Linked DNA regions of Oryzias latipes. The protein of the gene in region 3 purifies or fractionates together with the protein of the main gene of each other region. This does not show direct contact. Links are inferred from orthologs where the notes say so. Each region holds a gene or a part of one and is shown on either strand. Other genes may lie near its edges. The genes, in order: calcium-binding and coiled-coil domain-containing protein 1, ppp1cc, aurka, ppp6r3, fbxw7, arfgap1 and dicer1.

What was found.
Region 1: the proteins of aurka (region 3) and calcium-binding and coiled-coil domain-containing protein 1 purify together in Homo sapiens (affinity purification with mass spectrometry; 3 studies listed by BioGRID and IntAct, counting the BioPlex papers as one, with this or other methods). This does not show direct contact. The link is inferred for Oryzias latipes from reciprocal best matches to the Homo sapiens genes AURKA and CALCOCO1.
Region 2: the proteins of aurka (region 3) and ppp1cc purify together in Homo sapiens (affinity purification with mass spectrometry; 3 studies listed by BioGRID, with this or other methods). This does not show direct contact. The link is inferred for Oryzias latipes from reciprocal best matches to the Homo sapiens genes AURKA and PPP1CC.
Region 4: the proteins of aurka (region 3) and ppp6r3 purify together in Homo sapiens (affinity purification with mass spectrometry; 6 studies listed by BioGRID and IntAct, counting the BioPlex papers as one, with this or other methods). This does not show direct contact. The link is inferred for Oryzias latipes from reciprocal best matches to the Homo sapiens genes AURKA and PPP6R3.
Region 5: the proteins of aurka (region 3) and fbxw7 purify together in Homo sapiens (affinity purification with western blotting; 5 studies listed by BioGRID). This does not show direct contact. The link is inferred for Oryzias latipes from reciprocal best matches to the Homo sapiens genes AURKA and FBXW7.
Region 6: the proteins of aurka (region 3) and arfgap1 purify together in Homo sapiens (affinity purification with mass spectrometry; 3 studies listed by BioGRID and IntAct, counting the BioPlex papers as one, with this or other methods). This does not show direct contact. The link is inferred for Oryzias latipes from reciprocal best matches to the Homo sapiens genes AURKA and ARFGAP1.
Region 7: the proteins of aurka (region 3) and dicer1 purify together in Homo sapiens (affinity purification with mass spectrometry; 4 studies listed by BioGRID and IntAct, counting the BioPlex papers as one, with this or other methods). This does not show direct contact. The link is inferred for Oryzias latipes from reciprocal best matches to the Homo sapiens genes AURKA and DICER1.

What each region holds. Positions count from the first base shown.
Region 1 is NC_019865.2:12,641,699-12,646,295, reverse strand, and holds the start of calcium-binding and coiled-coil domain-containing protein 1, read left to right. Parts: upstream 1-1,263; 5' UTR 1,264-1,372; intron 1,373-1,450; 5' UTR 1,451-1,483; intron 1,484-2,445; 5' UTR 2,446-2,465; coding exon 2,466-2,597; intron 2,598-2,691; coding exon 2,692-2,794; intron 2,795-4,211; coding exon 4,212-4,414; intron 4,415-4,546; coding exon 4,547-4,597. UniProt on the Homo sapiens protein: Functions as a coactivator for aryl hydrocarbon and nuclear receptors (NR). Recruited to promoters through its contact with the N-terminal basic helix-loop-helix-Per-Arnt-Sim (PAS) domain of transcription factors or coactivators, such as NCOA2.
Region 2 is NC_019867.2:25,502,294-25,505,822, reverse strand, and holds the end of ppp1cc (serine/threonine-protein phosphatase PP1-gamma catalytic subunit), read left to right. Parts: intron 1-404; coding exon 405-539; intron 540-1,888; coding exon 1,889-1,978; 3' UTR 1,979-2,525; downstream 2,526-3,529. UniProt on the Homo sapiens protein: Protein phosphatase that associates with over 200 regulatory proteins to form highly specific holoenzymes which dephosphorylate hundreds of biological targets.
Region 3 is NC_019863.2:11,348,462-11,351,970, reverse strand, and holds the end of aurka (aurora kinase A), read left to right. Parts: intron 1-1,135; coding exon 1,136-1,274; intron 1,275-1,574; coding exon 1,575-1,723; intron 1,724-1,805; coding exon 1,806-1,980; intron 1,981-2,119; coding exon 2,120-2,302; 3' UTR 2,303-2,732; downstream 2,733-3,509. UniProt on the Homo sapiens protein: Mitotic serine/threonine kinase that contributes to the regulation of cell cycle progression.
Region 4 is NC_019864.2:5,097,114-5,101,273, forward strand, and holds part of ppp6r3 (serine/threonine-protein phosphatase 6 regulatory subunit 3), read right to left. Parts: intron 4,130-4,160; coding exon 4,065-4,129; intron 3,982-4,064; coding exon 3,866-3,981; intron 2,564-3,865; coding exon 2,478-2,563; intron 709-2,477; coding exon 622-708; intron 1-621.
Region 5 is NC_019859.2:19,452,959-19,457,118, reverse strand, and holds part of fbxw7 (F-box/WD repeat-containing protein 7), read left to right. Parts: intron 1-235; 5' UTR 236-304; coding exon 305-484; intron 485-1,190; coding exon 1,191-1,724; intron 1,725-4,160. UniProt on the Homo sapiens protein: Substrate recognition component of a SCF (SKP1-CUL1-F-box protein) E3 ubiquitin-protein ligase complex which mediates the ubiquitination and subsequent proteasomal degradation of target proteins.
Region 6 is NC_019863.2:27,794,167-27,798,866, forward strand, and holds the start of arfgap1 (ADP-ribosylation factor GTPase-activating protein 1), read left to right. Parts: upstream 1-1,546; 5' UTR 1,547-1,589; exon of another isoform or gene 1,590-1,668; 5' UTR 1,669-1,766; exon of another isoform or gene 1,767-1,778; intron 1,779-3,516; 5' UTR 3,517-3,527; coding exon 3,528-3,587; intron 3,588-4,700. Other genes in the region: ammonium transporter Rh type B-like, read right to left, coding at 1-932. UniProt on the Homo sapiens protein: GTPase-activating protein (GAP) for the ADP ribosylation factor 1 (ARF1). Involved in membrane trafficking and /or vesicle transport.
Region 7 is NC_019880.2:4,313,810-4,318,467, forward strand, and holds the start of dicer1 (endoribonuclease Dicer), read right to left. Parts: upstream 3,319-4,658; 5' UTR 3,216-3,318; exon of another isoform or gene 3,147-3,215; intron 1-3,146. UniProt on the Homo sapiens protein: Double-stranded RNA (dsRNA) endoribonuclease playing a central role in short dsRNA-mediated post-transcriptional gene silencing.

The DNA.
Region 1 (4,597 bases), on a different chromosome or scaffold from region 3:
ATTTCATTATGCTACTTCAAGAGAGACACTACTTCTCCTCTATCTCTACTCTGCTCACACAGACTCAGCTCACTATTAATCCACTTAAACACAATTTATAGGGTCTCACTATTGACTGTCCTTCGGCATAAAATTACATGAAGCATTTTTGTAGTGTCGTCAACGGACTAAATTAGCCAAACTAGCCCCACTAATTGAAGGAGGAGTAAAGTACTATTTGGCTAGATTGATTCATCAATAAGACAGTTATGGACAATGTGATAGCACTAATATATGATAAATATCACACAGAGTACCGCCGTTGAACCATAACGATCTTATATTTTAATTTTTGCTATATTTTTTAATGCTGTAAGGGTTCCTTATTCTGTGCAATTTCCAACAGCCTTGTGCACAATTTAAAGAGCTTTCTCAGTGCGTTAACTTATGGAATATTAATGTTGTTTACTCTTCCAACAGTAAAAATGTGTGGTTTGGTTGTCACATATGATATCCATGTTTCCATCCAATTTCTGTTTTTTAACTTGGAAAAACAGAAGAAGGGCAAGGAATCTGCAGAAAAACATATAGAAGTGCTTTGAGGATGTTTGGGTGGATACAGCTTACATGTATGTGAACCTGAAATGTTTAAGTGTCTGTTTGAAGATGGTGTGCTGCCACCTGCTGCCAGCATTACAGCATCTTCAGGCTCCAACACTGACAAAAATGTAATCATGAATTTAAAAAAGTAAAACACGTCTAAATCTTGAACTGACAAGAACAGTTCCATCCTGAAATCTCAATATTCTGCACAATGAGTTGTGTTTTTCTTTTTCTGTGGCAGAGCATCATAGACAACTTTAGAACGCGAGGAAAGCAATCCCTCCAAATACAACAGGTTAAGCGAAATCAACAACTGCGTCGATTTCTATTTAAAGTTTATTATAGGCCGGGAGGGGACAAGAACATTACAAACAAGATGGCTGTTTTTATCCCATTTTAAAGTATATATAACGTCCAATAACTCTGCTTTTGTTATCCACTTTAGCTAACAAGCTTGAAGATCGAAGAGCGGTACAGCCAAAACAAAACAAAAAAAAAAGAAAATGAAAAAAAAACGGGAAAAAAGTCAACGCGGAAAAGCAACGGCGTGTGCTTACATGCGTCATCCTACGTTCTTCTCTCCACAATCTCTTTGAGTCTTGGGAGTTGAAGTTCAATTCGGTGCAATCTGTTAGGTTTTCCATTACCGGTGAACTACAACTCCCAGAGTTCTTCGGGGTGGTGATGCTGTCGCGCTTGTGTTTTGCTTTGGCTTTTTTCCCCTCTTTTTGTTATTGTTTCGTGTTACTAGAGAAGCCGGACGCGTGAAGGAAAAAAGCACGACAGTCCTGTACGTGGTGTCATCATTTTCTTACTGAAAATAGATTGATAAGTCCTAATGAACAGCATCTGTTGTCATCTTTTACAGAATTCTGACTTGAAGAACTGCGAGACTTTGGAGGTAATGTCAGTGCGCAGATGTTTTAGTTTTTTGTAAACAAAGCTGTTGTTTGTCTAATTTAATCGGACATCTTTAAATAATCTTAAAAATGTTTGTATATAGGAATGTACTTGAACGATTGTTTCCGAAATGTTCCTCGACCTGCATGTCAGAGTTGCGTCCTCGACATGTGCTGCTGCAGGGCCTCAAGCCTCGTCATGTGTAACATGAAACCTCAAAGAACTGCTGCAAATTCTTTCCCTTTAGCTGTGATTTTTCCACCGGGTCGACAAGAGTGAACACGCATTTATACAGTGCATTTTTGTCATGTTAATACAACCCAGGGGTCATAGGAAGAACATTTTCACACACATAAGTAGAGAAAACTAACAGTCGTCGGTCAATATGCCCTCATGACACAGCACATGCGCACTTGCCGAACATCCTGTAATTATAGTGTTGCACTCTTATGGCTGTTTTGTGTACACATGTGCAACAGAGATGTGCCATTTCCGTTATCAAAGCTGGGTTGGTGTCATCCACATGAAGGTTGCATGACACTCAGTGCTAAATTAACAATGCTTTCTGTCAGCAAAAGAAGTACACTGAGATGTTCCAAAAATACGCCTGCCTGTGAAATCTGAGATCCCTCCAACCTCCCTCTCAATGCTGATGGGACACCTTGATCTGCCTGATGGAGCACAGCGGCAAATGATTTCTTCAGACCAAAATAGCCACAGTAAAGGAGTTGTAGTGGGTGGTTCTGTTCAAAGACGGGTCACTCAGGCTTAGCTTTCCACTCCTCCACTGGACTCTCAGTCAAGCTATCTTCTTACTCTGCGTAAATATTCATGTACCCCTGGCTTGCTCCTATTTTCTGCCTGCTATCACCCCTCTCCCATTCACAATTGCTCCGTTCCCTCGTGCCAGCTTTAATCTATGGGACCATAATGACTGCCATCGGTTTGATTTTTCTTGCACAGGTCTTTTTTTTCATGCTGCCATGGACAACACTTGGCAGGTGGAGTTTAGAAACGTGGGATGCAGTTACTTCCCTCAGAGCAGAGTTGACTGCCACTTCACGTTAAGCGCACAGCACAAGTGGGCCAGCAGTGATTGGGTTGGGCTCTTCAAGGTATTTTTACTCTGACATGTTTCACTGAAAGTATGCGATCCCAGACTGTTAATGCGGCTGCAAGCTAACCAAAAGTGTGTGTTTTCTATCTCAGGTGGGATGGTCCTCAGTGAAGGATTACCACACTTTTGTCTGGGCTCTGGTTCCAGTTGACTATCAAGAGGGTGCAGATGTCAACTGCTGTGTGCATTTCCAAGGTACTCAGGCTCCTTTTCTTCAAGTACTTACCAGCTGGAGGTATTTCAGTAAAAATGAAAGGGTCAAAGCCAAAATGGGGGAACTTTGGTCATTTCAAAAGACAAATAATTGCTTTGTTTGATCAGTTGTGACTTGGTTAGAATAACATTACTGAGTAAGCAGGAGGCCATGATGATGATGATGACAAAGACAGTGGGCTGGAGCCTGCTGTACTCACCGGAAAATGGTGTTGTGTGTGTCAGGGTCTGTCAAGATTTCTTGTTCTCTGGGAGGAACACGTGTGCAGCAGGTGGGGGATTGAACCATCGCACTGTGATTTATTGCAAAGTTAGCTTACATTTAGAATCAAAATTATTTATCACAAAAGGCAGAATTGAAACTCAAGAGAAATCATTAATGACTCCCGACTGCCAGTGATTTAGTAAATAAAAGGCAAAACTGCATTTTTATCTTTTGATAAACTAGGGCTGGTTTATAAAATAAAGGAACTATCTTTACTTAATAAAACAATATTAATGAATTAAATCAATGATTTCTTGTAAAACAACTTTCAGTTTTATTTTCACTTAATGAATAATCGTCTTAGTGAAGAAAATTCAGTCATTATTCAGTTGCATCACTAAATATGTGAAAAATGTTTATGACCAAATGAAATTACGTTTGAGTAGAAATGTATTACAAAAACTTGATAATTAAATTGTAAACCCAGAAACTAGTTTTAATACTGTTCTGATATTTTATATTGCTTAGTTTTAATACAGTTTTAATTGTAGTAAATACCCGTAATAGTAAAAAGTTCTGCATTTTAACCAATTGCATGTCAGGAAACTACTAAAAAAAAAACAATATATATATATATTACACATACACACACCTATATGCATAGGTGTGTACTAGACCTGCAAAATAAAATGTTATAGTTATCGCGATATCAAACTGTGCAACATGCGTATTCCATAAGAGACGAAAATTGCGATTAATGGTTACCTTAAATGTGCTAAGACATTCATATGGCAGCTTGACGTATCTAACAAATCAAATAAATCCCTTTATCCATTTGACCAACTGGATGAACCCATTTTAGATATTTGCCTCATAGGGATTAGGGTCATTTGAAGTATAATTTAAGTTATGTTGTACAGGTCCTGTTTCTTTCATTTACCTAAAACCTAAGATTTACCTGTTTGGCAGTTTGGTTACAGAATTCCCTTCAGAACTGACTTTTCTGCAGACTTGAAGCCAAATTACTGAAATTATATGCATCATAAATTAAAAATGCCAAGTTTTTCAAATCATTGCATTCCCTTTCTTACACCATAACAAATAAGAACAGGGAAACGGTAAGAATATGTATATTTATATATTGTTTTCTTTTTTATTCTATTAATTTTGAAATCCCATTTTTCCCCATTTTAGCCTCCTACCTACCTAAGCCCAGCTCCCAGGAGTATGAATTTGTCTATGTGGATGCTCAGGGGGAAGTGTGCTCCCGCAGCCCTAAGTTCACTTTTTGTGCACCAAAGCCGCTTGAAGATCTGGTGACCCTCGAGGAAGAGTCTTATGGAGAGGAGGAAGGCACAGATATGCTGCTGGTTGTACCTAGGGCTGAACTTCTGCAGGTGAGCATAAACACTTAAACTAAAGTGGGTTTTTTTGTTTTCTTTGCACCACCAATGAGTCCAAGTTTAAGAAGACGGTCCTGGAAAACAATGCTGGTTCTCAAAAACCATCTTTGACTGTTCTGCTGTCAGAGCCGACTGCAGGAATGCCTGCAGGAGCGTGCAGAGCTGCTCCAGCTGCAG
Region 2 (3,529 bases), on a different chromosome or scaffold from region 3:
CGTCACCTCATGGTTCTGCAAACTGAATTGCAGGAGCTTCTGCACATTGGCAGAACATTGTGATACAGGAACATCACGACTTGTGCAACTAACTTTCAGGGCTGTTGTCTGAACAAAACAGTGTTTACTTTTTGTTTTTGACTTTGAAACCTAAAGTGTATCAAAAGACATTTATTTTTGACCCCTGAAAAAACAGCATTTCTTCTGGTAACCTGAGCTTTTGAATAGAAATGACATTCTTTGACATTTAAAATCAATTTCCTTTTAAATGCAACTGTTTTAAAAAAAACTGCACTTTAGTTGAGAGAGAGTGTAATCATGGTGACAGTAAAACTAAGCGTGATGATGTCACACTTTTTGGAATTTTCTTTTAACCCCCTTTATTGTCGTTCTGCCTCTTTCAGGTGGTTGAAGATGGTTATGAGTTTTTTGCAAAGAGGCAGCTTGTGACCCTGTTTTCAGCTCCAAATTACTGCGGGGAGTTTGACAATGCTGGTGCCATGATGAGTGTCGACGAGACTCTTATGTGCTCTTTTCAGGTGGGCTACCTTTATTCATGAAGATACTACCATAAGCTGTTTGCACCAATATGATCTCAGGCTAACCCTAGATTAAGCATTCCTTTAAAGAAAATTACATTTCAAGACATTAAAACATAACTGCTTGTTTTGAGTTTGATTAAGGATTTGATACAGTTACTTAAATATTGATTTGATTTATACATTTTTAATTCCAACACCAATTGATTTGCTTTTTTAATAAATGTTTACTAAGTGAGTGATGGAAACTAAACAAAAATACACATTCCTTTTCTTCCCTATTCAAAGACCCACTTCGGTAAAGTGTGTTTTTGGTGTTTTTAGCATGGTCTTCTGTCATTTTTCTGATGACAAGGGAAACATATTAAGCTTAAAATTGCATTTCTATGTCTTTCTTTAAAATGATAAAAACACTATTTATAAAAAGGTGTATGTGTGACGTAGAAACCTTGTTGGGCGGGCCTCAAGCTCCCTGCTCTACTCTATTCTGATGCAAACAAATAGATCCATTTACGTCTTAGTTTTCCTTGTCTCAGCTGGAATCTGGATCAAAACTGTATGACTGGAACCCTTTAGTATTGCTCGCCATTTTTGTTCCACCACTAATGTAATATTGGGTTTTTAGGGGCTGTAAGATAGTGGGAGAGCATATGAACACAGAGCTCCTGGTTAAGGATGATGGGAAGGAGGTTGCAGGTTTACCCCCCCCCCCCCCCCCCCCCCAAAAAAAACAGTCAATTTTTAATAGAAAGTTGCCTTAAAGAAAGATTGACATTGCATTTCGAAATGTCAATCAAGTGGTTTATGCTGCCGTTCTTGGTGTTAGTGTTCCTGGGTTATCTTCAGGGAGAATCTATAGGTGTATTTGATTTTTGATTTCTCCAAATGTCTGTGTTGATCGAGTAAAAAAGCAGTCAGACAGCTATAAAAGTGGATAAAGCGCTGCAGCTGCTGCCTCTCAGCAGCAACAGCTGGAAGTCTTCTCTGCGGGGTTAACTTTCCAAAACAAAGACATGGAAAATACACCCTTTTTCTTAAAGCATAACTTTTATCCATGTTGTTGAGATGAAGCCGTATTAACATATTCCACTTACTAACCTGTTTGTTTCTTTTTTAACGTTTCTTACAAGCAGAAATCGTTTATTGTGTAGCAGTAAAGAGGAAATGTAACTCTTATTCTGTATTACTAGGGAATTTTAGTTTGAGTATACATTTGTTTATTTATTCTTTATTAAAAGCTTTAATATGAAAATAAGAAATGTCTAGGCCTCAAAGGACTGTTATTGGGTGTGTGGTTTTTTTTGGGATGTGATAAAACAAAGGCGTAACTCTTTACACTGGATTTGCAGATCTTGAAACCAGCTGAGAAAAAAAAGCCCAACGGCAGTCGTCCTGTGACTCCCCCTCGCAACATGGTGACCAAGCAAGCCAAGAAATGAGGCAGGCGCCAGGGAGCTGGTGGGGGCCAGAGTCCCACTCCTCTGGTCTGCTTTTGTTTTCCGCATTTGAAAGATCGGGTCTTCTTCACGCTGCCAATACTGAAGATACCCGCTCCCACTCGATGAAACAAAATGTTTTATTGTTTTGTCCCAAGGGGTAAGTTGATAAGTCACCATGGAAAACCTCAGGTGTTTTGCACTCCATTTGCAGCTAGTCTTTGCCACATAATGACTGTTCAATCAGGAAAATGTAACAATACGGCTACTTGTGCACAGGAATGCCTTTGTCTGAAGCTGTGCACAATTTTTCCACTTTTCCATGTCTCGTTTATTTGTCATCTCTTTTCCTCACTGTCAGTAATAATAAACAATGGCTATAAATCTATGAGGAAAGTCACAGACACATTTACCTTTGTAAACTCCATTGACTGTCAGTGTCAAAGAGAATTGTCAGAATTGCATCATATTTCTAAATAAGTCGCGCTAAGTTAAACGAATAAGGAAACATTCTGTAATATCAAAGTCTTTCTAATAAACTTTGAGAGTATTTGGGGGGGGGGGTTGATATCTTAATGTTATTTGTTTCTAAAACTTTTATGGCTCTTGATGAAAATAAAAAGTTGAAAACTTCACTGTGTCTAAATAAGTGCTCATGAATTATAAAGCAGGTACTAAAAAACACCCACGAAGACCAGCGCTCAGCCACCTGCAGCTCTTTATCGCTCTGTTGTGGCTCTCTGGTTAAAGAAAAATGATTGTCATATTTAAAAGTAACTATAAGGGAAGTAAGAAAGTTTTTTAAAAAGTAAGTTAACTCAAACTTTTTTTAAAACTCATTCACAAACATTTGAAGGACGGTACGTATCACACTTTAACAGATTTATTTGCACCATGTAACGGAAAATCAATTGAAGGTCAGTTGGCACAACCAGAGTTAAAGACCACCAGATTATGAGATGGATTTTTTTTTGTTATTTTTGGAACAAATGAAAGGATTTAAGTGCACCTTATGGTTCAAAAAATAAGATAAGGGTCACCTAAATAGCTCTTATTTAATTCTGATTTGTTAGTTACACATTTCTGGCTGAGATGCACCAGAAATGTTGAAATTAACTTTTTTTTTTTAATCAGTACTGACATTACTCCTTACTACTACATTTGCTGCATTGAGATGATCCTATGTGACAAAATGTCTTATTTTGAAATGAAGTCAGAACCTCTGTCAAAAGTTATAAATTATTTTATATTTTGAAAAAAGACATTTTTCTCTTTGTTTTATTTACGCAAAAAACTTAATTTAATTCATATTTATTGTAACAGTAACATAAATATAAATCAGTGTCATGTTTTTGTAAAGGATGAGGTTAGACTTGGTGGCTCCTACTGGGTTGTCAGTGACATAAAATTAGAGATTAAAAATTAAAATTAGAGAATTAGAGACTTTCCATAAAAAACATCTGTATTGGTTGTGAAAATCCTGTGTTTTGTAATTATTTCACTTTTGTTACTTAAAAAAATAATTCACGCGAAATCCTACCATTTTCAATTGGA
Region 3 (3,509 bases):
AAGCCCGTGGTTGACCTGCTGGAGGCTCCCGTTGTGGGTGTGGTCGACTTCACCATAATTCTTATGATTTTTGCTATGAGTTTTGTTTCAGAATTTGCTCTTAATATTTTTCTGAACTACTGGTATAACAGTTGTAGTCCTAAAGCGAGGAGCTAAGGACGCGTCTACGACTGACATTAGGGATTTTAGTGAAGGTTGTTTAAACAATAATGTGTTCTTGTGATGTTTTTGAGATTATTGAGGGTGAGTTGTGAGAAATTGATTTTCGGGGTCGTTTTCGTGTACTTCATTGACGGTCCCTGCCGGACTTTGCTTCCATGTGAAGCTGAAGGCTGCAATTTTAACAGCAAGGCAGGAGAACTTGGATGTATCCATGTGTGTTCTTGGTTTGAGTTGGCGGCACCGACTGCAATAGTTACCGAAATGTGTTTATTTTTAGTTTTGGAAATTCTGTGAAAAGTTATGGATAAAGCATTGCTAAAAAAAAAAAGTGTACAATCCCTGAAAATCAGAGCCATCCAGCTGTAAGCAGGATCCAGCTCAGAGGAGGAAAAGGAAGACGGTAATGTATCCATTTGTCTGCAAGCGGATGCATCAGAATGGAGTGAACAAGTAGACTGGTAAAAACCCATTTCAGTTGCTGCGTCACAACTGAGTTTTTTTGCTGCACCTGAAAAAAGAAATGCTCAGGAATTCAGTTTTCTTTCCAACTTCCTGAATATATGTTCTCCAACATGAGAAGAATCCTACAAGAACATGTTAAAAAGCATGATTTTTTTTATTGGAGTGGGTCTTTAAATCAACAGTGCAGAGCAGTAAATGTCACAATGAGATTATGTTGTTGTGAATAAGCATGTTTAAGACGTAGATCATTTGTTTTAATGCAGATCTATAAACTCAAACGTGGAACTTTTATAAAAACGATTTATTTCTACACTTTGGTCAAAAGTTTTATTTCCAGAAAAAATACAAAAAAATTACCTGATTCCCTTTTTTCTGTCTTATAAACTTCAAGCTCCCCCCTTAGTTTCTCTGAGGTATTTAGAAGATTTCATTTTACTTTATCTCTGCCGGAATATTTGCTTAATCTTGTTCTGTATCTTTTTTAATTTTTATTCTCTTCTGTGTTCTGCAGGCACCCTAACATTCTGCGTCTGTACGGCTACTTCCACGATGCGTCTCGCGTTTACCTCATTCTTGAGTTCGCACCCAAAGGAGAGCTGTACGGCGAGCTGCAGCGCTGTGGGAGTTTCCCCGAGGACAGAAGCGCCACAGTGAGTGTGACCACTGAGGAGCTTTCTTCAACCCAGATTTAGAAAACACTTGGAACATTGTTTAATACGTTTATGACATTGTTTAAACGGAAGCGGTAATTGCTGTTGCATTTTTTTCACCATTGCGTATACAATATAGACCAAAGGTATGGACACACCTTCCCATTCTACTGAATGGGAAGGTGTGTCCAAACTTTTGGTCTGTACTGTAAATGCATATATTTGTCTTGCTTTTGTCACTTTTATGCATTGAAATTTGCAGCCAACTCGATTCAGACTTTGTTTTATTTGCCTTTGAAGTACATCATGGAACTGGCTGATGCCCTCCACTACTGCCACACAAAGAAGGTGATCCACAGGGACATCAAGCCTGAAAACTTGTTATTGGGAGCCAACGGGGAGCTCAAGATAGCTGATTTTGGCTGGTCTGTTCACACGCCTTCATCAAGGTACCAGCATTCTGCATTTGAATGCAGTATTTATGCATGCCTGTACTTTATAGTCAAATCTGTTTTTTTATTTCCTCATCAGGAGGTCGACTCTGTGTGGAACCCTCGACTACTTACCTCCAGAGATGATTGAGGGGAAAACTCACGATGAAAAGGTGGACTTGTGGAGCCTGGGGGTCCTTTGCTATGAATTCCTGGTTGGAAAACCCCCCTTTGAAGCGAAAACCAACGATGAAACATACCGGCGTATTTCAAGGGTACGACTACCAGCTACAGTCACAAGTTCAGAGGCTTCAGTGTGGTATTTTAAATGCCAGATCTTGTTACAGGCAAAGCTACTCCAGCAGTAATTCAGCTTCTCTGTTTCTTACCAATAAACCTTCATTCCTCTTCTAGGTGGAGTACACTTACCCTGCACATGCTGCTATCAGTGATGGAGCTAAAGACTTGGTTGCCAAGCTGCTGAAGCACAATCCCATGCACAGGCTGCCCATCCAGGGGGTCCTGTGTCACCCATGGCTGCTCCAACACTCCACCCGAAAGCCCACCCCCCTTACTGATGAAGAGCAGAGTCAGTGATGCTCCTGAAACGGGATTCTGAATGATCCCGAAACAGCAGATTGTCAGTGTTTTTCTTTTCAGGTGCTTGTTTTTCTCAACCACCACCTCTTCACAACAACCACTTGTTTTTTTGTTCTGCAAACATGTGAAACCTCTGGTTATTTTAACTTTTTATTCCGTTTCCTTTCTTTCAAGTGGCATTCATTTGCCTGTAAATATTTTTCTGTTACTGCTAAATAATGAAAGTTTTATGAAACCTTTTTGTGTTGAAAATGGAAAAATAAATGTTTATGCGCCATCTTTAAATGACACATCAGTGGAAGGCGATTCTGTTTGTGTTGCTCATAGTTCAGTCTGCTGTCTGAGTGATGAGCCGGGTCAACCTGAACTGACGAGGATTCCACTAAACCAGGAAACAAGTCTTAGTCAAATAAAATGTTTTCTAATCTATTAAAATGGTGCACTGCAAATGCATTGTCTGTCTAAAAAACTATTCAAGAGCTGGATTTAATCTTTCATGTTTAATTCATAGCAGTGACTTTACTTTTTGAATCAACTACTTTTTGCACAACTTCGTTAGTTTTTTTTTTAACACAAAGCAGAAATTGTTTTCAGGGAGGGCAATGGTAGCGTGATATTGTGCATACTGAGGGGAATATTTGAGTTTAAAGAAATGTAGCAAAAATTGAAATGTTTGTCAAAAACAGTCTACATTCACAAGGAGGTTAAGTTTGTCCTTTACTGGTGGACTTTTTTTTATTTTGTCTACAAGTAATGAGGTTTTGTGCTGCAAAAACTTCAACCCACCTGTCAGTCATGGTCACGGCAGACTATTGTGTCTCCTGAATGCAGGTGTTGATTAATGTGTTGGTCACTTCAGTGACACCTGACAATTTTTCACATAATTGTCACATTTTTTTGTTGTGATGTTCTGATCCAGATATTCTTCCCTATTCAGACACCAACAGAACTTGCAGGGGGAATGAAAAGTGAAGGAATCTGCTGGTGTGTCTGATTGGCTTCAGTTTCATTCAGTTATCTGGTTGGGGTTTCAACTCTACCTCAGTTTTGTAGCATTGGAGCTCTAAGACACCTGACCAACCAGAACTACTTCTGTAGGACCTTTAACAAAGTGTAAATTGTTAAATCCACAATACCCATTGAAATGCTTGCATGTTGCTCATTTAATCCAGGCCATTACTTTTAATCTTGGGTAAGGACACAG
Region 4 (4,160 bases), on a different chromosome or scaffold from region 3:
CTTTGAGTGCTAGACTGAGCTTGGGTGGGCAGAAATTTATGTGGCACGTTTGGTTTGTTTTTCACATTTTTGCCACATAGGGTCAATTTTGTGAAGGACAACTATCTGACTGTCATTCTGATTTCAGCAGATGTCACTCAGTCCCAACTTTCTTGGAAAAAACAGGAGGCATTATGGGACATACATGCACCAACTTGGTTTTGATCAGAAGAAATGGTAGTTGAGTGAATGTATTCAAACCTTGGTAGAGATCATTTACAGTTAGAGACATTCTTAATGTGTTATGTTCATATGTTTAGCTAATAAAGACAAACTGTTGGGTCCTGGGTTGGAAATGTGCACTTCACATTATTAATCATTACATCCTGCAAATAAGCTCAAAATGATTGTGATGTGTGGGAAAACGTTTTACTGTTCGATAATAAAAACAACTTATGGAAACTAAGCTTAGAGTACTTTTATATTGTGTTATAACTACAGAAGTGGCCTCTTTAGCCACAAGGGCCACGCAGCTTTAAATTCAAATGTAAAAAGAGCTAATTGGATTTCCCAATATTTGAATAACATGTGCATCGTTTCTAAATGAAGCCAATGCAAGAAAAGTGTGTGCATTGAACTTACCTGTTGAAGGGAGGAGTCCTGATGAAACCCACTGTCTTTAAAGTCCACCTCGTCATCACTGGAAGAGTGGATGTGATGAGTGTTGACCTGAGTGAGGCGTACACCAAAAGAACGTTCAGTTACAGGAGCAGACAGCTACACCCCCCCAGTTAAAGGCCCCAGGGGTGCGGAGGCCAATTCCTTTAATTTAGCTATTGATTGAAACCTGGTGTCACATCAAAAAAGAAAATCAGACAAGAAACTGGCATGCCAGCTTCTACCACTGAGTTTTTACATGTGAATGTGAAAGAGTTATCACAGTTCATTCATCCTTATGTGAGCAAAGAGCATCTGACAGAAACTGTGTGTTGATTGTCCCATCATAACAATCAGCAGTGAAATGTCTATGGTTAGTTCCAGGTTTGAGTTTTTCTAAATGCAATAGTAAAGAAGTGTAACCAACATGAAAACCAGACCGTGAGTAAAAATGCTGAGAGAAGGAGGAAAATCCACCAGAGTAATTAAACACACATGGTCAAAGCCAGGCTATCCATTTAGAAAGTCCTGAAGATCACATAAGAAAACTAGCTAGAGATAAGAAGAAAACAACATTGTAAGAGACAACAGCAACGGTCTCCAAAGATGGAGTGAAGGTACAATAATCAGCTCAGGTAGAGAGGCTACACCAGAGGAGAAAAATCCCTCATTAGGCTGACTGTTGCTAAAAATGACAGAGATTAGCTTCAAGAGTTGTGAGACACAGATAAGTTTTTAAAAGATAAAAGACAAAAGTAAGACGGAAGAAGAATCTGCTCATGAGCCCAAAGACACAAGCTCACCTGAGAAACACAGTGATGGTAGTGCTGTGGTTTGAAACTCTTTGGAATGGGCCCATTGATGGCAGCAGCAAAATTAACTAGATATTTCTCTGCCACAAAGCCCAAAGCCCAATGCCAAACTAATTACAAAGTTTGTAAAAAGCAAGAAGTGCAAAGTTTTAGATGAGCAAGTCAATGTCCACATTGAAACCCAACAAAGGAAGACTTCTTCCTGCTGAAAAGGAGACTAAAGGGGGACAACCCCCAAAGAGGCTGAACTGAAGGAGTATTACAAACAAAAACAACCTTTGGGATGTCAATGACTCACAGACTTGATGCAATTACTGACAGCAGGGAATTTTCAAATAAATATTTACCTATTTTCTATTACATGTTAATTCTTGATGTTCAAATACTGTTGCTCACATGGAAAAATGATTTCAAAGTTGTTTGCCAGATCTAGATGTAACCACCAGAAAAAAAAACCTTGGTCTTGTATTCATCTTTCAGAGAAAAACCCAAACATTTTCTGTCCATGATGAAAACAAAGCCCTTGGCTTCACTGTCCTTATGTTGCCTAAAACATTCAGGATTGTAAATGAGTAAATCATTGCCAGTTTTTCCTCCCTACTCTTTGGGGGGGGGCCGCCTGTCATTTCATACTTTCTCACATCTTTATTTTTTTAAAGAGCCATACATTACACCATGCACAAAGGTGAGAAACAAACATGCACAAAGGTGAACTATTTTCACCTTTCATAATAAAACAATATGAAACAGTTGCAATCGCAGCACCAGAAATAGTCACTAACTTGGCAGCCATCACTGTTTTATATAATAGTCTGTAGGAGGTCTATAAAGCTGCTTGATACAGCAAAGCTCTGTGAGTTTCACTGAGGCATTTTACTTCTGACGTACAACATTATGTAAACGACTTATGAAGCGCTAAGCGCAAAAGGGGTGAGTCACAAACGTTTATGCAAAGAGAAGAGGAAAAAAGACAAAACAACCCGAAAAACAGCTTACCAGCAATCCTGTGATTACAACACGATCACTCACCAAGTCAACTGCGTTTCTCTTGTTTGTGTCAGCCAGCTGCCCAGAAACAAAGGCCTCCCATCTTTCCCGGTCCTCTGAAGGCAGCTCTGTCCAACACAATCAGGTCGGTCAGGTCAGACTCAAACACAGGGAAGCAGAACCCAGAAGCAGAGCACTCTCAGAGGAACTATTTCCCTGTTTTCACACATATTCACAAACAAAATACTAAACACAGGGGAACCCACAGGGCTCAACTTATTTTTTTACTGCTGGGTTTTCATATCAAATGATTTTTCATCACTACGTGCTGTACTTTTAATTCTAATGTATGCAGATGATACTTTGGTTTATGTGAACAGAAAAGTCTTTTACAAGTAAAGGCCCGTACACACCGGGACGAATATTCGCCAGGCGTTATTCGCCAGCGTTTTTCGCCACGTCTTTTGTGTTCACACCCAGGTGATTTTCGCTGACGATGAGTGGAGTGAACATGCAATTTCCTTCCCTGACATTAGATGGCGCTTAATGTAAAACAGAAATACTCCTGTACACAAGGTGGCGCTGCGCAGCTTTACGCTTCTTAAAGTCGCTTTTCACTCAGAAGAAGAGAGCAAGTATTTACGCGCTTGTCAGAATCATACAAAGAAAACATGAATATTTCAAACACCAGTAGCTCCAACTGGTGCTTGGTTCGGGGATATTTTAGAATGTCCGTCATTATTGCTTCGCGGCTGTGTAGACGCTACTTGGCGTCTATCTTCTTCGCTGGTATGTGTGCTCAGAATGGCAGTTTTGTGTTTGAGCGCCCCCAAGTTGTGTTTTACTGTAACTTCAGAAGCTCCAGACTAGTGAGCAAAAGCGCCGTTCTCATTGGTCGAGTAGATTTCGACGCGACGCGTCGAAAAAAAAAACGAACCCGAGGCGGTTTTTTTTTTTTGACGCTTTAACGCCTGGCGTTTTTTCGCGTCGGTGTGCACACTCTCGTTGGTGCCCTTTGTTTAGTCACGAGGCGTTAAACGTCGGCGAAAATCGCCGGCGAAATTCGTCCCGGTGTGAACAGGCCTTAACTGAAAGGCTGAATCCTTTATTTAATCTCATGTCACAGCTGTTGAATCTCTAAATCTCATGTTGATGCAGCTTTTGTTTATACAGCATCAGCTTTTGCTGCATTTATCAGTATTACATTTGCCATTTCGCATTTACTCCAAGAAATGATTGTTGAGAAACTACAGATTAAAACTACCACTATAGTTGATTTTGGACTATTATTAGAACTGAAAACATTAAAAAAAACAACCACATCAATAAAAAAGCAATATTAAAACATTTGAATGATAATCTGATCGTGTCAGTAATTCTGACCTGGAACGCTGAATAAACTTCATTTGGAGGACATAAAAGAGCCTCACCAGAGAGGAGCTGCTGTATCTGCAGCCCGTTTGGCCCTTTATCACTGTTATGAACTATAGAGTTGGCTATCCTGGTCAGGTGACCCATGTAGCCTCGTCGCCGCCCACCTTCTGCCCTGTGATACACAAAGTAACAGCATGATGGGCTATAGAAGCAGCAACACCTGCAGTAACTGGACTGTTGAGCAGAACTCCTTACTGTTCTTTTTCGTTGGAGCTCCAGGCGTCCACGATTCTCTGGATAAACTGACTTTTCTCAAAGAGCTGAAGGAGAAACAAAAGTAATTCAGTAATC
Region 5 (4,160 bases), on a different chromosome or scaffold from region 3:
CATGGTTTCATTAGTGGAGAATTCAGAAAGATATTACTCTGTGCCAAATGAAATTTGATCACATCAAGAATTGTAGGAGCATCCAGCTCTATGCTACTTTAAAATATAGTATTCATAAATCAAATTATTCAAAAATGAGGGGTTAATGAAACGTCCTCCCCTCATCTAACTAAATAAATAAAGTAAGTAAAACCTTCAACATCTGTGTCTTTTTATTTTTTTTTTATCTTTGCAGAATGTCAAGACCTTCTCATCTTCAGACAGCCTAGCGAAGGTCCAGGAGGTAGCAAGCTGGCTTTTAGAAATGAACCAGGATCTGCTGTCGGGGGGCAGCAGCAGCAGGCGGAGTCGGGGGCCCGGGGGTCCAGCAGTGCGAGGTAACACCTCCTCTACGACCCGGGCACCCCAGCAGGCGGCAGAAGAAGCCGACGAGGATGAGCACATTAACCGGGTTGTCGAGGAGGATGAGCAGTTGCAACAGAGGGTGAGGCCAGCTCATGCTTAGGAAACATTTCCCTTTTATGTAGGGGGAAGATTATAAAAAATGTGTTGATACTTGAAAGATTTATAACTATTTTGATAATGGTGGATTAAGTTTTCCCTAACATGTTAAAAAAAAAAACGTAGGGATCCTTCTTTATGAATATGAACTCAAGGAAATGCATAACTCTTTAATTGTGTTTTCTTGGGTTGGCCTGTAAAGAAACATCTCTACACGAGAGGCCTAGACTGCAGTCAACTGTGTTTTTTTTATCTTATATTTCTCAGTTTAGTAAAATAAGTAATTAAATGAGTCGCTTTGATCTCACAGAATTCGATGGATGGCCTCACATCTAGCTCCAGAACAAAGTGATTTATATAAAGTCTTGGCAGAAGCCAGAAACGTTACCCACCCAACCTTAGGAGTTTGAGTAAACACAGCCCTTCACTGTCTTCTCAATGTGGGATCGTCTCTGCGTACAACTTTGTTCCAGAAGTGTTCTTGTTTTTTTTAGGTTCAAGTTTGCAACCTTTTTCTGTTTTGATTCACAAACTTCTTTAAAAGCAGTCTTATATTCCTTTGAACTTTAAAACTTAATTCTCTTTAGGTGGTACTCAAAATATCATCTTTAGCATTGTTTTAACATCCTATAGCCTTAGAATTGAAAGGCATTTCACATAAGCATCCGCTGTTCTTTTCCTTTTCAAAGCCCGAGGTGTCCCAGGTTGATGGTGAGAGGGAGCAGCTTTGGGAGCCCAGCGAATCAGGAGCCAGCAATGGCCCTCAGGGAAACGAGGAGGTGGAGGAAGATGAAGGAGCCCCGCCAAACGAAGTGAACGGAGACGAAAAAGGAGCCAGGTGGATGTGGGGGACCGAACACAGACAGGTGAGAGGGCAGCCACCCCTCGAAGAGGAGGAGGAAGAAGAGGAGAACAACAACAACAACAGCAGCAGCCACCAAGAGGAGGATGAAACTGAGGAGAGGACAGAGGGAGGGGATGAACAAGGAAGGGACGAGAGGGGAGAAGGAGAGGAGGAAGAGGAGGAGGATGAGGAGGAGATGGACCAAGACAGCGATGAGTTTGAACATTCAGCAGAAAGCGAAAGGGAGGAGGAAGAGGAGGAGGAGGGAGGTGAAGGGGAAGAAGAGTTGCATCCCCCCTCTTTCGCGAACAGGGTTTCTGCCCCCAACAATCAGGACTCTAGATGTAAACCCCAAAGCCCTTCCAACAAGAAGGACAAGGTAAGACATCAACAAATCCATTTGTTTCCTTTATATATGGTCTCTCTTTGTAGCTGAGAAGTGTGAACTTTGTTTGGGGAAAATCACCGTTTACAATTTGCACCAAAAGGTTTTAAAGTATTTTTGTTTGAACACATTTCCATTCACATTCATTCATAATAATAAAACATATATGTGAAACACTTAGATGGAATGACTGAAACTGAAATTCCCACTGTATACTAGATTTATAGGTGATTGGCTCCATCTTGTGGCATAAGCGATACTCCTCAACAGTTCCTACTAAGAGCGTCTATTTTACTTGAAAACTTATAACTAGGGATCATAATTACTTTACCCTACACCAGTGAGGAAATCCAAAGAAAGATACTTTCAGAGCCTTGTTACAATTGGAGTTTGTGGCTTTCAGTCTATCGTTCGATGAGTGGGCATATTCGAAGAATTACAAGTGTTGGTGATTCTCCTGCAAAATAAGCATAAAGCGACGATATTTACTGAATATAACTTAGCCTGGGGAGAAAATATCAAATATAGGTAAAGTTGTGCATTTTTCCAGTTCCAATAATAACAGTGAATTTTAAAGAAGCAGATTTGTTTTTATTCCCCTAAGATATCTGAGTCAAAGATCTTTTGAAAAGCAATGGTGGGATAATTTACATTCCTTAAATCTGTGGAATTAAGCTGATTTTAAGTTACAGTTTGTCTATTTATCTGAATAGACTTAAGTCTGAATAGACTACATTATTATTAATAGAAAGACCTGTTCTGAAAGGGATGTTTATTACACTGGCTCCTTACATGGCCTTTACAATGCTTTAATCCTTGGTTTCGAATGATATTTATGCCATTTAAAACTACTTATGCCAAAGCAGTCTGTCTATGTTGCTGTGAGTGTTTGTCACATTTCTGTGCCGTTTGTTTGCTTTGGCCCCTCTGTAGTCGTGTTTCAAGATGCAGGATTTGGCCACATAACACTTGGATGAAAGCAAGTACAAGCTTTTGGTTCTGGGAATTTTAGAAGATCCATCCCCCAGCCAACTTGACAAGCTTTACAAATATTCTCTAAAAATATTGTTATTGCAAAAAGGAACTCTGTGTCCTGTCACATGTTAATAATGTATAAAACCATCTATTTATCAGTGTTATTTTATTACAATTTGAAAAATCTTTCTAATCAATGTGTTTGAGTACAGATGTTCGATAACTTATGTTTTTAAGAGGTGTTTCAATGCTTTACTTGCAGTGTGGATGTTGCAGCCCCTTAAGCCCCACAAGGAGCCAATTGTCTGAAATCATTCACATTCCCCATCATGTTTGTTTCCGATTCATGTTTTTTTTTGTCCCTGAATCCTGACATATTTAAAGTCATTGCTTTCAATATTCTCTTGGTACGCTCACAAGAATTCAGATTTCATGTCTCATACATTTCAAGCCCAGCCACTGTAGAGGAGAAGTCAGGCCAACTTTTTAAAAATGCTTAAAAAACATATTTATCTTTATTCCAGATGTTGCATTTGCTTTTACCTTAATCAAGGAGCTGAATATCATTTTTGGGAAAGCAGGAACACACATATATGTATAAATAAATAAATAAATATATATACACATATACATGTATATATTTCTCTTATTGGGTGTTTGTATTCTATAGAACTGTCATTGTAATGTTATTCTAGACTGCAGTGTTTTTTAGGGATTACTCAATCTGAATCGATCCAAACTTAATACATCAGTAATCAATCCATAAAAGTAGAGATTGATCTTCTTTTGCCTTTCCTTTTCTGGTGACCGAACACGTAATAGCAGTAAAGCCAAAGTCTGCTAGCTTGATGCAACGTATAATGGAAGTTCCCTTCCCTTAGGACAGTTAACGCTCTGCCGACATAAATATACATTGCTGACTTAATGAACAACTTTATATACTCACAGGCATGAATATTCCAAACTCCTTTAAAGCAAAACTTTTTTAAAGGTAAATCTGTGGTGTAAAGCTCTCTTTTGTTTTCTTTGCTCAAATCTTTTGGAAGAAAGTGTAATGCTATAACGAGAGCTCCACCTAGTGGGCAAACTGAAACGCCCTCCAGTACACGCAGATCATTTACTGGGTAATATGAGGCAGTTTAGAGCTTTTACAGTGTTAATGACCTGCACATTTTTGTTGGAGTTTCTCCTTTTTCAGAAACCATGTAACGCTGTTTGGTGTTAACAATCTCATTAGTTTATTATTTCACTTATACATTTTACAGGATGTGAACTGTATTAAATGAACATGAACATCTTCTAAACATATATAAAGTATTAATGTATTTCTATATAAATATGTCTGAATGTGTGAATCAAATCGAATTGAATCGATTGGATTGAAAGGGAAAAAAGCGTATCGATCTAGGCTCTGGTGAATTGAATCTGATTGGTTCTAGAAATTATTGGTAATAC
Region 6 (4,700 bases), about 16 Mb from region 3:
GTGCAGCCCATGACGCCGAGGACGTATGCAGCTACAGGAGAAATCATCATGTCCACAGAAGCACCAACGGTCACACCACCTGCTAGGGTCACGTTCTGAATGTCAGCCATCGTAAGCTTCCCCCTTTTGTTGAACAAAGCAGAGAGGGCAAAGGCAGTGATGGTGGAAGAGCTCAGACCTATGAATGTGTGGAGAATTGCTCTGTGCTGATCATCCCCTTTAAAGGTAAGAGCAGAGTTAAAGGAAGGCCAGAAGATCCAGAGGAACAGAGTTCCTATCACAGACAGGATGTCAGAGTGATAACTTGTGATCTCTTTAGCGTGTCCGTTGTTCAGATTGGGGCGGTACAGCACAAATGAAACCCCCAAACCAAAGTAACAGGCAAACAGGTGAATGAGAATAGTGCCTCCAGCATCATTGATCCTAATGTACTTAAGTACGGCCCACTCTGTCACAGCAAAAATAAGGATCTCCAGCAAAGCCATGATCAAGAGCTGAACCGGGCTGGTTTTTCCCAGCACGGCCCCAAAGGAGATGAGCACCACGGCACAGGCGAACTCTGCGTTCAGCAGATTGATCACTCCCAAGTGAATCTTCCCATCATAGTAAAACTGGAAGAAGCCTTGCATCAAGATTGCCCACTGGATTGCAAAAGTTGCTGTGAGGAAGTTGAAGACCATTCCACTGAAGCCGTAGAAGCGGAAGAAAGCCAGCAGGCAACCGAAGCCAATGAAAATCATCACCTGCACGTCAGCAAAGTAGGGGTAATCCCGGTATAGCGCGTTATCCATGGGGTTGGTCTGATTGTTTTGCAGCTTAGCATTAGAATCGTCATCATAGGTGACAAACACAGCATAAAGTGCTATTATTACTATTTCCAGCACTAACACAAGTGCGGGCAAGCGCACCTTCAGGCTTGTGGAGGACGTCATGTCGGTTCACCAGTCAATAGAGACGCTTGTTTCTTCTCTTTTATAGCGCATGAATGCATTTTTTTTTTTTTTTGCAAGATAAGCTCAGCTAAAAGCATTGGGGGAGAAAAAACTCTGACATGTAAGTGCTTCAGACACGGATGTACTTTAGTCCCTCAGAAACTTCCATATAACCTTATCTCCTCAACTGTTACTTTCATCATTGTACCACATGGTAAATAGTTGAAAAACTATTTAATTTAAATTAATTTAATTGAAAGGAACATTCAGACTAAAAAAACTACTGAATTCTTTATGGTGACTTAAAGTGTGTTGACTCCTGCAGTTACAAATAATTTACTTAAACTGTAATTTTAAATGTTAATATATATAATCTATATATAATCTTAGTATTTCAGCGTGAGTAGCCTTGGCAGGCATTAACATAGAAGATTTTTAGACATACATGCTTAACAATTAACTGTAAATGTGTAAAGAGTAATGAAATCTGGTAAAATCGCAAAGAAAACTTGCTTCAAAAAACTGCACTGGTACCTGCTAGGATACTTCCATCCAGTAGGTGGCGGTAGAGATTTCAAAGCCAATAGGCATCGTAATAATCGTAATAACACGAGGAAGAAACAGGAGCGTTTTACCAGGATGCATTGCACTGCCAACGTATGCAAACAGGAACATGGCTACCGGTTTTTTTTTTAGCATCTGACATTTAAAACTTTCTTTTCATTCTGTCTTGTAGACTTTGTGACAGTACGACGGGATTGAAGATAAAACCTTTCAAAGCGCCGTCACGGAGTCTGAATACTGAAAACAACGTCCTTGTTCCTATAATTTAAGGTAACCCAACAGGTAGCTAACGTTAGCGAAATCGAAAATCTTTTTAGTTCGTGTTTTCATTTTGTTTTATTTGTTCAGAAACTCAAAACACAACCAAAGGATGTTCACGTACTAGACATTTGTGCTGTCTAACATTTGTAAACACAGGAACAGATGTTGTGAGGAATGCAGTTCTATTGATGCCCGGCATTTTAAATTTTCCATACAATTTTTTGTCTATTTTACACATGTCGCCTTTTCTTTTGATCTTCTTTAACTTAAGTGTTTTTGTCAAATGTAAAATAAAATAGAAATATCAGAGTTTATTTGGAAAAACAAAAATATCTGTGGTGTCACAGAGAATTAGCAAACCTGACACAAAATAAATAAAGTAAAAGGAATAAATATTTTTGAAAACATTGAACATTCGTGGGGGTTGTAATCTGTATGTTATGAAACAACCCCCCCCCCCTTTTTTTTGCTTAAGATGTCATTAAAATGGATGATTTAAATTTAAATTAGAAAAAGAGTTGCACTTAAATGCTGTTTACTTTAAGCTTCTTTTCTTAAGGCGTTATATGTTGTACATATGGTTTTGAATGATAAAAAATAACAATAATAAACAGTAAAACGTATTGAAAACAGGATGTCAGACATAAACCAATATATTAATAGACTAATATGTCTAGCCTTCTAGGCAATGATCAAGAAAAAATATTTACAAAGGCAACATTGATTCATAACAATGTAAATGTGGTATACAAAATGAATGGCGAAGTGTGTAATGCAAATGTATATAAAACAGATTAATGAAATTGTGTAAATAATAAACAATTGTCCATTTTCAGTCAAGTTACAGGAACTTCCTGTTAAAGTGACTTCTTAGTTCTTTAGTTGTAGTGTAGTTTGTTTTTTAGTAAATTCTTTAGGTTTTCATTTTTTGTTTAGTCTTTTAAGAAATTGAACTTAATGAGGGTAAATTAGGGAACTGAATTAATTTAATATTTTGCATTTAATAATGGACACAAATTTCCAATATTAAGAATAACTATGGGTTTATCCTTAATACTTACAGATTACTTGTAGGTTTATGCCAATACATTCCTACAAGTGAAACCATTATTTCTCGAACATTTATATTTTTATTTATTTGATGATGGTGCGTCATTTGTTTGTTTTAACTTTGAATAAACATCACATTGTGCATTGCTGGATAATTAGGTTTAAGATGAATTGGTAAAAACTGTGTTTTCAATGAAAAATTTTAAATTTCTCTTTTTTTTTCATATTTGAAAAGAATCTATTTAGTGATTTAGCTTCCTTTTTGGGGGACCTTTGGTAATTTTGACCTTCAGAGTAGCATTGACTGCATCCTTCTGTCAGTAAATGTGGCTTCATCCACCTGTCTGTCATTCTACCTGTTTTCTTTGGGCTCTTTCCAGTTCTGCAGACTTTATTTCGTAGTTCTTAGCTTTTTGGTCCACCTTTTTCGTTTAGTTCATTTTTCAAAAAATAAGAAATTACTAATTTTAAATGAAGGGGAGTAGAAGAAATATATTTCATTATGTGAAAACAGTTTAATTTGCTCTTCTTTCTATTTACATACATCTGTTAAATGAATGAATTGTCTGTGAAGGTTCTCATTCGTCCTGGTGATGTTCTTTTGAATGTGATTCATGGTGTCTGGACTTAAAATCTCCCTTGACACTTTTCACCTATCATCTAAGTAGCTTCATCAGTCTGTATTAAATGAAATGTTTGACTCTTTTAGATCTGGTCATCATGGCAAGTCCGAGAACCAGAAGAGTTCTGAAAGATGTGAGAACCCAAGATGAGAATAATGTAAGTCCAGTGCTCACTTTTTCCCTTAGTAGAAACCAGCTAATGTTGTCCGTCACATGGCTTAGACCAGGGGTCAGGAACCTGTGGCTCTTTTGATGGTCACATCTGGCTTGCAGACAAATCTTTAATTATAAAATCATTTTTTCATTGGACCAGTCCTTCTCGGGCGCGATGCGATGCCAGAGGGGCGCACAGTAGTAGCGGTGCTTGGAGAGAGAAAAAAAATCTGCGCCAGAGATATTTCAGAGTTTGTACCAGCCGGAAACCTGTTAATTGCCGTACCTGCAACTGTGCACTCCCGTCTCTGAGAAAAAGCGCGCAGTTGCAGGGACGGGATGTGTGAGGCAGGGGGGGGGGGTAGTGGGCACATTGTCATAACTTAAAGCACGCAGCCCGTCACTCACTGCAGCGTGAGTGTGTGTTTGGCTCCACGTCTGCATGTGAGCAGTCTTTCTCACATCTAAAGAACATTCAGACCAACCTACGATCACATTTAATGTATTGAAGTCTCAACGCCTGCATGAAGCTGAAACTCACCACCTATCAACCAGCCTAGACCATCAGCAAAACCACACGGAACCAGAAATTGTATTAATACTAAGAAATACTCATCATTTATTAGCAACAGCATAACAATGTTATTAGAAAGAATCCATAAACTTATCGTACTTTAAAAGTGTTACATATTACATAATGACATCAAATGCACACATTCACTTGTATTTCTAGTTTTAAACATAGTGTGGCGGACTGAGTTTAACTGGGTGGCTGTTGGGTTGCGTTATAAGTTCCGGAGTTCATTGAACGCATCATGCAGAGATCTGATTGGCCCTCAGTTCTGTCGCTCAGCCTGTCGTTGGGGAGTTTGGACCAATGGGGTTCAGCTATGGGCCGAATATTTTTTATTTATTTTTATTTAAGCTTTATTTAATAGGGACAGTGCACATTAATGAACATCTATCAAACAATGATAGGCGTAAACATGCTGGATTATAGCAATGATGCTAATTTGCATCCATAGTCCCTAGGCAGGAAACATAAAACATGACAAAACAAAAGACAGAATCACAGATACAATAAGAACACAAGAAGGTGGTACATTATGAGAGTTAA
Region 7 (4,658 bases), on a different chromosome or scaffold from region 3:
GGAAAGCCTTACACGTTCACAGCGTCACTGAAGAAGGCCAAGTGGGTGTCTGCACAGTTGTTGTCTGCTATCTTCAGGTACAGGATACATGGAATACAAGTACAAATACTTTCAACTGACAGATATTTACAGGGGCAAAAATGCAAAATTCCCAATTGACAGGTAAAACAGTAATACAATAGGATGATAAAATATGAAATAGAATAGAATAGAAGGGTATTTAATAATCCCTGAGGAAATTTTTTTAAAATGGCCATCTTAAAAAAACACATAAACACACATGCATTACAAATAGAAATATCACAAAATAAAAAGATTGATAAAAAAGGTAAATAATTGGAAAATCAGTGGGTAAAATTAAAAGAAATTACTTGTAAGATGCCCTGCCAGAGAGTTGTATTGCCTGATGGCACGAGGAACAAAAGATTGTCACGCTGTCACATTCAGTAATTCCTAGAGAATAAATAAAAACACAACAAACATGGATTAGATCATTTAGCTGTCTGATCTTAAATTACATAATTTTCAAATATATGAAAGGGGAATTTTTTTAAAACACTCTTGCTATGATAACTTGAGCTTGTAGTAAAGAACACCTTTAAAAAAAATCAGAGACAAGACACTGATCACAGGAAGCCTGTGTGTAATACTTACAGTAACTTCTACTCTAATCACTGTTGACAGCTGATTTCTCCCATCCCCCCATTCTGTGACTACTTATCGACTACAAAACAGCCTAAAAACATAATGTTTGGGATTCTTGTCATTACGTCATTGGAAGTAAAGATACAGGGAATTTAGTGGCTGTCACTCTGACACAATCTCACAGGGCTGGTCATCACAATGAATACGGGTTCTAACGTTAGAAACTTAATGAGGCTTCTTTCATTCAACAGTGGATTCATGTCTGTTATATTTAAAAAATGCCGTTTTCATGAATGTCATATGAATTAACTTTGTTGCACAGTCCACCCCGTCTTAAAGTCTGGGTTGTGAAAATGCTGTGTCTAACTTTAACCCGGATCGCGTTTACATAAAGGCAGCACACGGAACAACTAGCTAGTTAACATAGCATAGCATCAGTGTTTAAACAAATCGCCGTCTCCAAATCAATACTTTTTATTAAACTTTCTTTGCTGCTGTAAATCCGGCATGTTTTCCCCTTAGTTCTATCTGAATCATGTTAAGAACCTACAGATCATTGGCTATAGACGCTAGCTTGAACCGACACCGGCTTGAACTTCACTCACACTCACAGGCAGACACAACTTGCACAGGCTAAGCAAAACAAAGCTAAGCTAATTTGCGGTGGGGGTACTCTGCAAACGACTCGGCTGCAGTGTTCATAAAGCATTCACACATGTCACTTGGCAAAGGAAAACGCTTCAACTTAGTATTCAATAACATTACAGGACGTACAACGAGGGAATGATCAAATAAATGCATTACTTACGGGCTGAGACTGATCCCGTTCAGAAGACCTCTCCGCCATGTTTGCCGCCCGCGTCCTCCCAACTGCTGTGCAGAACAGCTCCCTCCCTCGTCACTTTGAAAGTGAGGAGTGTAAGGGGCCATTAGATTGGCTAAAAGCGAACCCGCCTGCTTTGCCAATGAGTTTGATTGACAGATTCACTAGCCAATGGTGAGATTAGTCGACCCGCTCCGTCAGATGAGTCTCAATATTCACCGTAGAAAAATCTCTCACACACACGGGGAGATTCACAAACGAGAACGGGATTTTGAATGCACATTCTGCAGTTCGAATGATCTGTGAGTTCACATCACATGTGTACCTAAAAATCATGTTTGTGAAGCACTTACTGTGCATTTCTGATACATTTATTTTGAATTTCTAAAATGTTTTTGTGAAAAACAGTGTGCACATTTGTGAGAAACACTTATTGTGCATTTGTAAAACATTTAGTGTGCATTTGTGAAACACAATCTGTGTGTTTGTGAAACACAGGGTGTGTATATCCGAATTTATTTTTCACGTTTGCATAAAATGACATTTGTGAATCGGAGCGTGTGCATTTGTAAAACAGATTGTGTGCATTTCTGATTATTGAGACTGAATTAACTCCATACAATACAATCAAACTGTTTTTCATTCAAACTAAAAGCAAAAGTTTAGACAATAAATTAATGTGTTTCAAAGATCAATTTTGAGTCGCTGAAATGAATAAAGATCATTTCAAGAAACAGAAATTTAGCAGGTGTCTATTAACTTTTAATAATTCATAAATCAGCTTTATTTATATCAATTCCCAGCATTCAATGCTTTAACTAAATAACAATACGGGTCCAGGAGGTGCATGTGTGGTAGAATATCAGATTTGTTAAAAAGACAAAAATCTATGTAGTTGTTTAAAATATCTACAAAGATTCAACAAATCAGAAAATAAACCCAAAACTGTGAACTTGCTATCACCTCTACAGTTGGTAAACAGAAACCACAATGAATTTGGCCAGTCGGCTGGACCTGGACAGCAGATCTAATGATTACTAAAACCTGTGTCAGTTTATCTGGATCTCTAATCAAAACCGATCAGAATATCAAACTTGATCTGGGAAGTCTTTTTAATAACGGATCACTCCTGTCCAGGATCACCACAGCCAGATGTTAAAACGCCTGAGTGACGTGACAGCAGCTTGAGCTTGTGACAAACATTTGAACGACACACGCTGTATTAAATCTCAATTTACGCCTTTTTATATTGTATAAATACGGAAAGTTTTTTTCTGCAAAGGGAAGACAAAAGCAGGCTCGAGGACGCGCAAACAAGACCTAAAAGTAAGAGCCTCCGCGTGTCTTTGGACATCATCCAATCCATAGTCTGTCCGGCGACACAGAGACCGACGCCGCGGCGAAAGCTAACGCAGCTAAATGTTTAGCGGCGCGCGGGACTAAACCCGGTTAAAATTCCCATTATCTTATTAAAAAATGCGTCTTATTAGGGAAGAGCGGCGCACAAACTGATAAGAAATGCATCCAGCATGTAGCAAAAAGCGTCTCTACTCTCACTGCAGCCGCCATGCCGTATCATCATGTCGAGCTAGCTAACGGCTAGCAGCACCAGGGCCATTACATCCATCCACAGTAACATTCCTGTACGAAGAACCGCGCGCTCCGCTCGTGAACTCACCCACGCGGTTATTTTTCCACCGAACGATTCGTCTGAACAGAAAAGAACTCGTCTGCTGGAAACACTCACTGGCATCTAGGCGAACTGTCCAGATATGCGGCTACTCGTCCACGGGGGACCACTTCCTTTTCCCTGGGCCTCCGCTACGCCTCAAGTTTACGTCATTTGCGTAGCCGCGGCTCTGGTGTACGTAATTAAACGTCTTCCTGTTGTGGCATGTTTTGTCCACTCGGGGGCAGCATCAAACAAACTTGGGGATCCGCTTGTTTTGAGGCTTCTTTCACCAACGTAGAGTTCAACAGAAAAACACAATTTATTTATGTTTTTTGTTTAAAGGCTTAAAAGAAAATTCAGTGCTTAAGAAAAAAACCCCGTCAGTTTCCAAAAAATCCCTATCTACAAAAAAATAAAAAAATGTAACACCTGACACTTAATAGAAAATAGTGAATATATCACATCAATGTCAAAAATAGAAAACGGTTCAAAAAAATAATTTAAAAGCTTTAATGATTTTTACTAAAGAAAATTCTAAAAATTTATTATAAAAATAATTTTAAGCTAAATTGATTCATACGGCACCGTAAATGACCGCAATCAAACAAATTACTGTACATCAAAAGCTCAAAAGAACAAAAATAACAACTAAGTAAGAGGTTAAAATAATTAAATATGTATTTTTTTAAGTAAGATAAGGATGTAACAACACCATAAAAGCTAAGCAAAACTGTAAAGCAGTAAACACACCAGCAGAGCAGAGTCATGCTGTGTCAAAGGCCTGGTGATAAAAAGGGGTTTTAAGAAGTTTTTTCTTTAAATGGAAAGTGAAGATGCCTGTCAAACGCTCAGTGGTGAAACGTTCAACAGCTTAGGTGCACAGCCTGAAAACACTTTTCTCAGGAGAAGCTGATCAGCAGACCTGAGGCCTTGGGTTGGGGTGTAAGGACACAGAAGCTCAGAGAGGGACAGCGGTGCACAATTGTTTAAAGATTTAAAAACAAATAAAAGACTCTTAAAATGAACTCTACAGTTCACTGGCAGCCAGTGATGGGTATCCAGGATGAGGGTGATGTGGTCCCTCATACGAGGAGCAGCGTTCTGGACCAGTTGGAGATGTGAGAGGAATGACTGCTGACTCTAAAATAGAGAGAGTAACAGTAATCCAGCCAAGATATAATGAAAGCATAGATTACTGTCTCAAAATGACGTTTTGGTAAAAATGGTTCAACCTTCAACAACTGCCTAAAATAAAGTAAGATGGATTTTACCACTGAGTTAATTTAACAGTCAAGTTTAAAATCACTGTCCATTTCAAAAGCCAGGTTTGACACAGATTGTTTTAAATGTGGAGCCAAGGGACACAACTCCACTGAGGAGGATTCACAGAACCTTCCTTTGACCAAACACCATCACTTCTGTTTTTTGTCATTAACCTTAAAAAGCTTTGGGCCATCCAGTCTTTGATGTCTGGTAAACAAGACAGTATTGGTGTAATGGAGCAACCTTCCATTATTG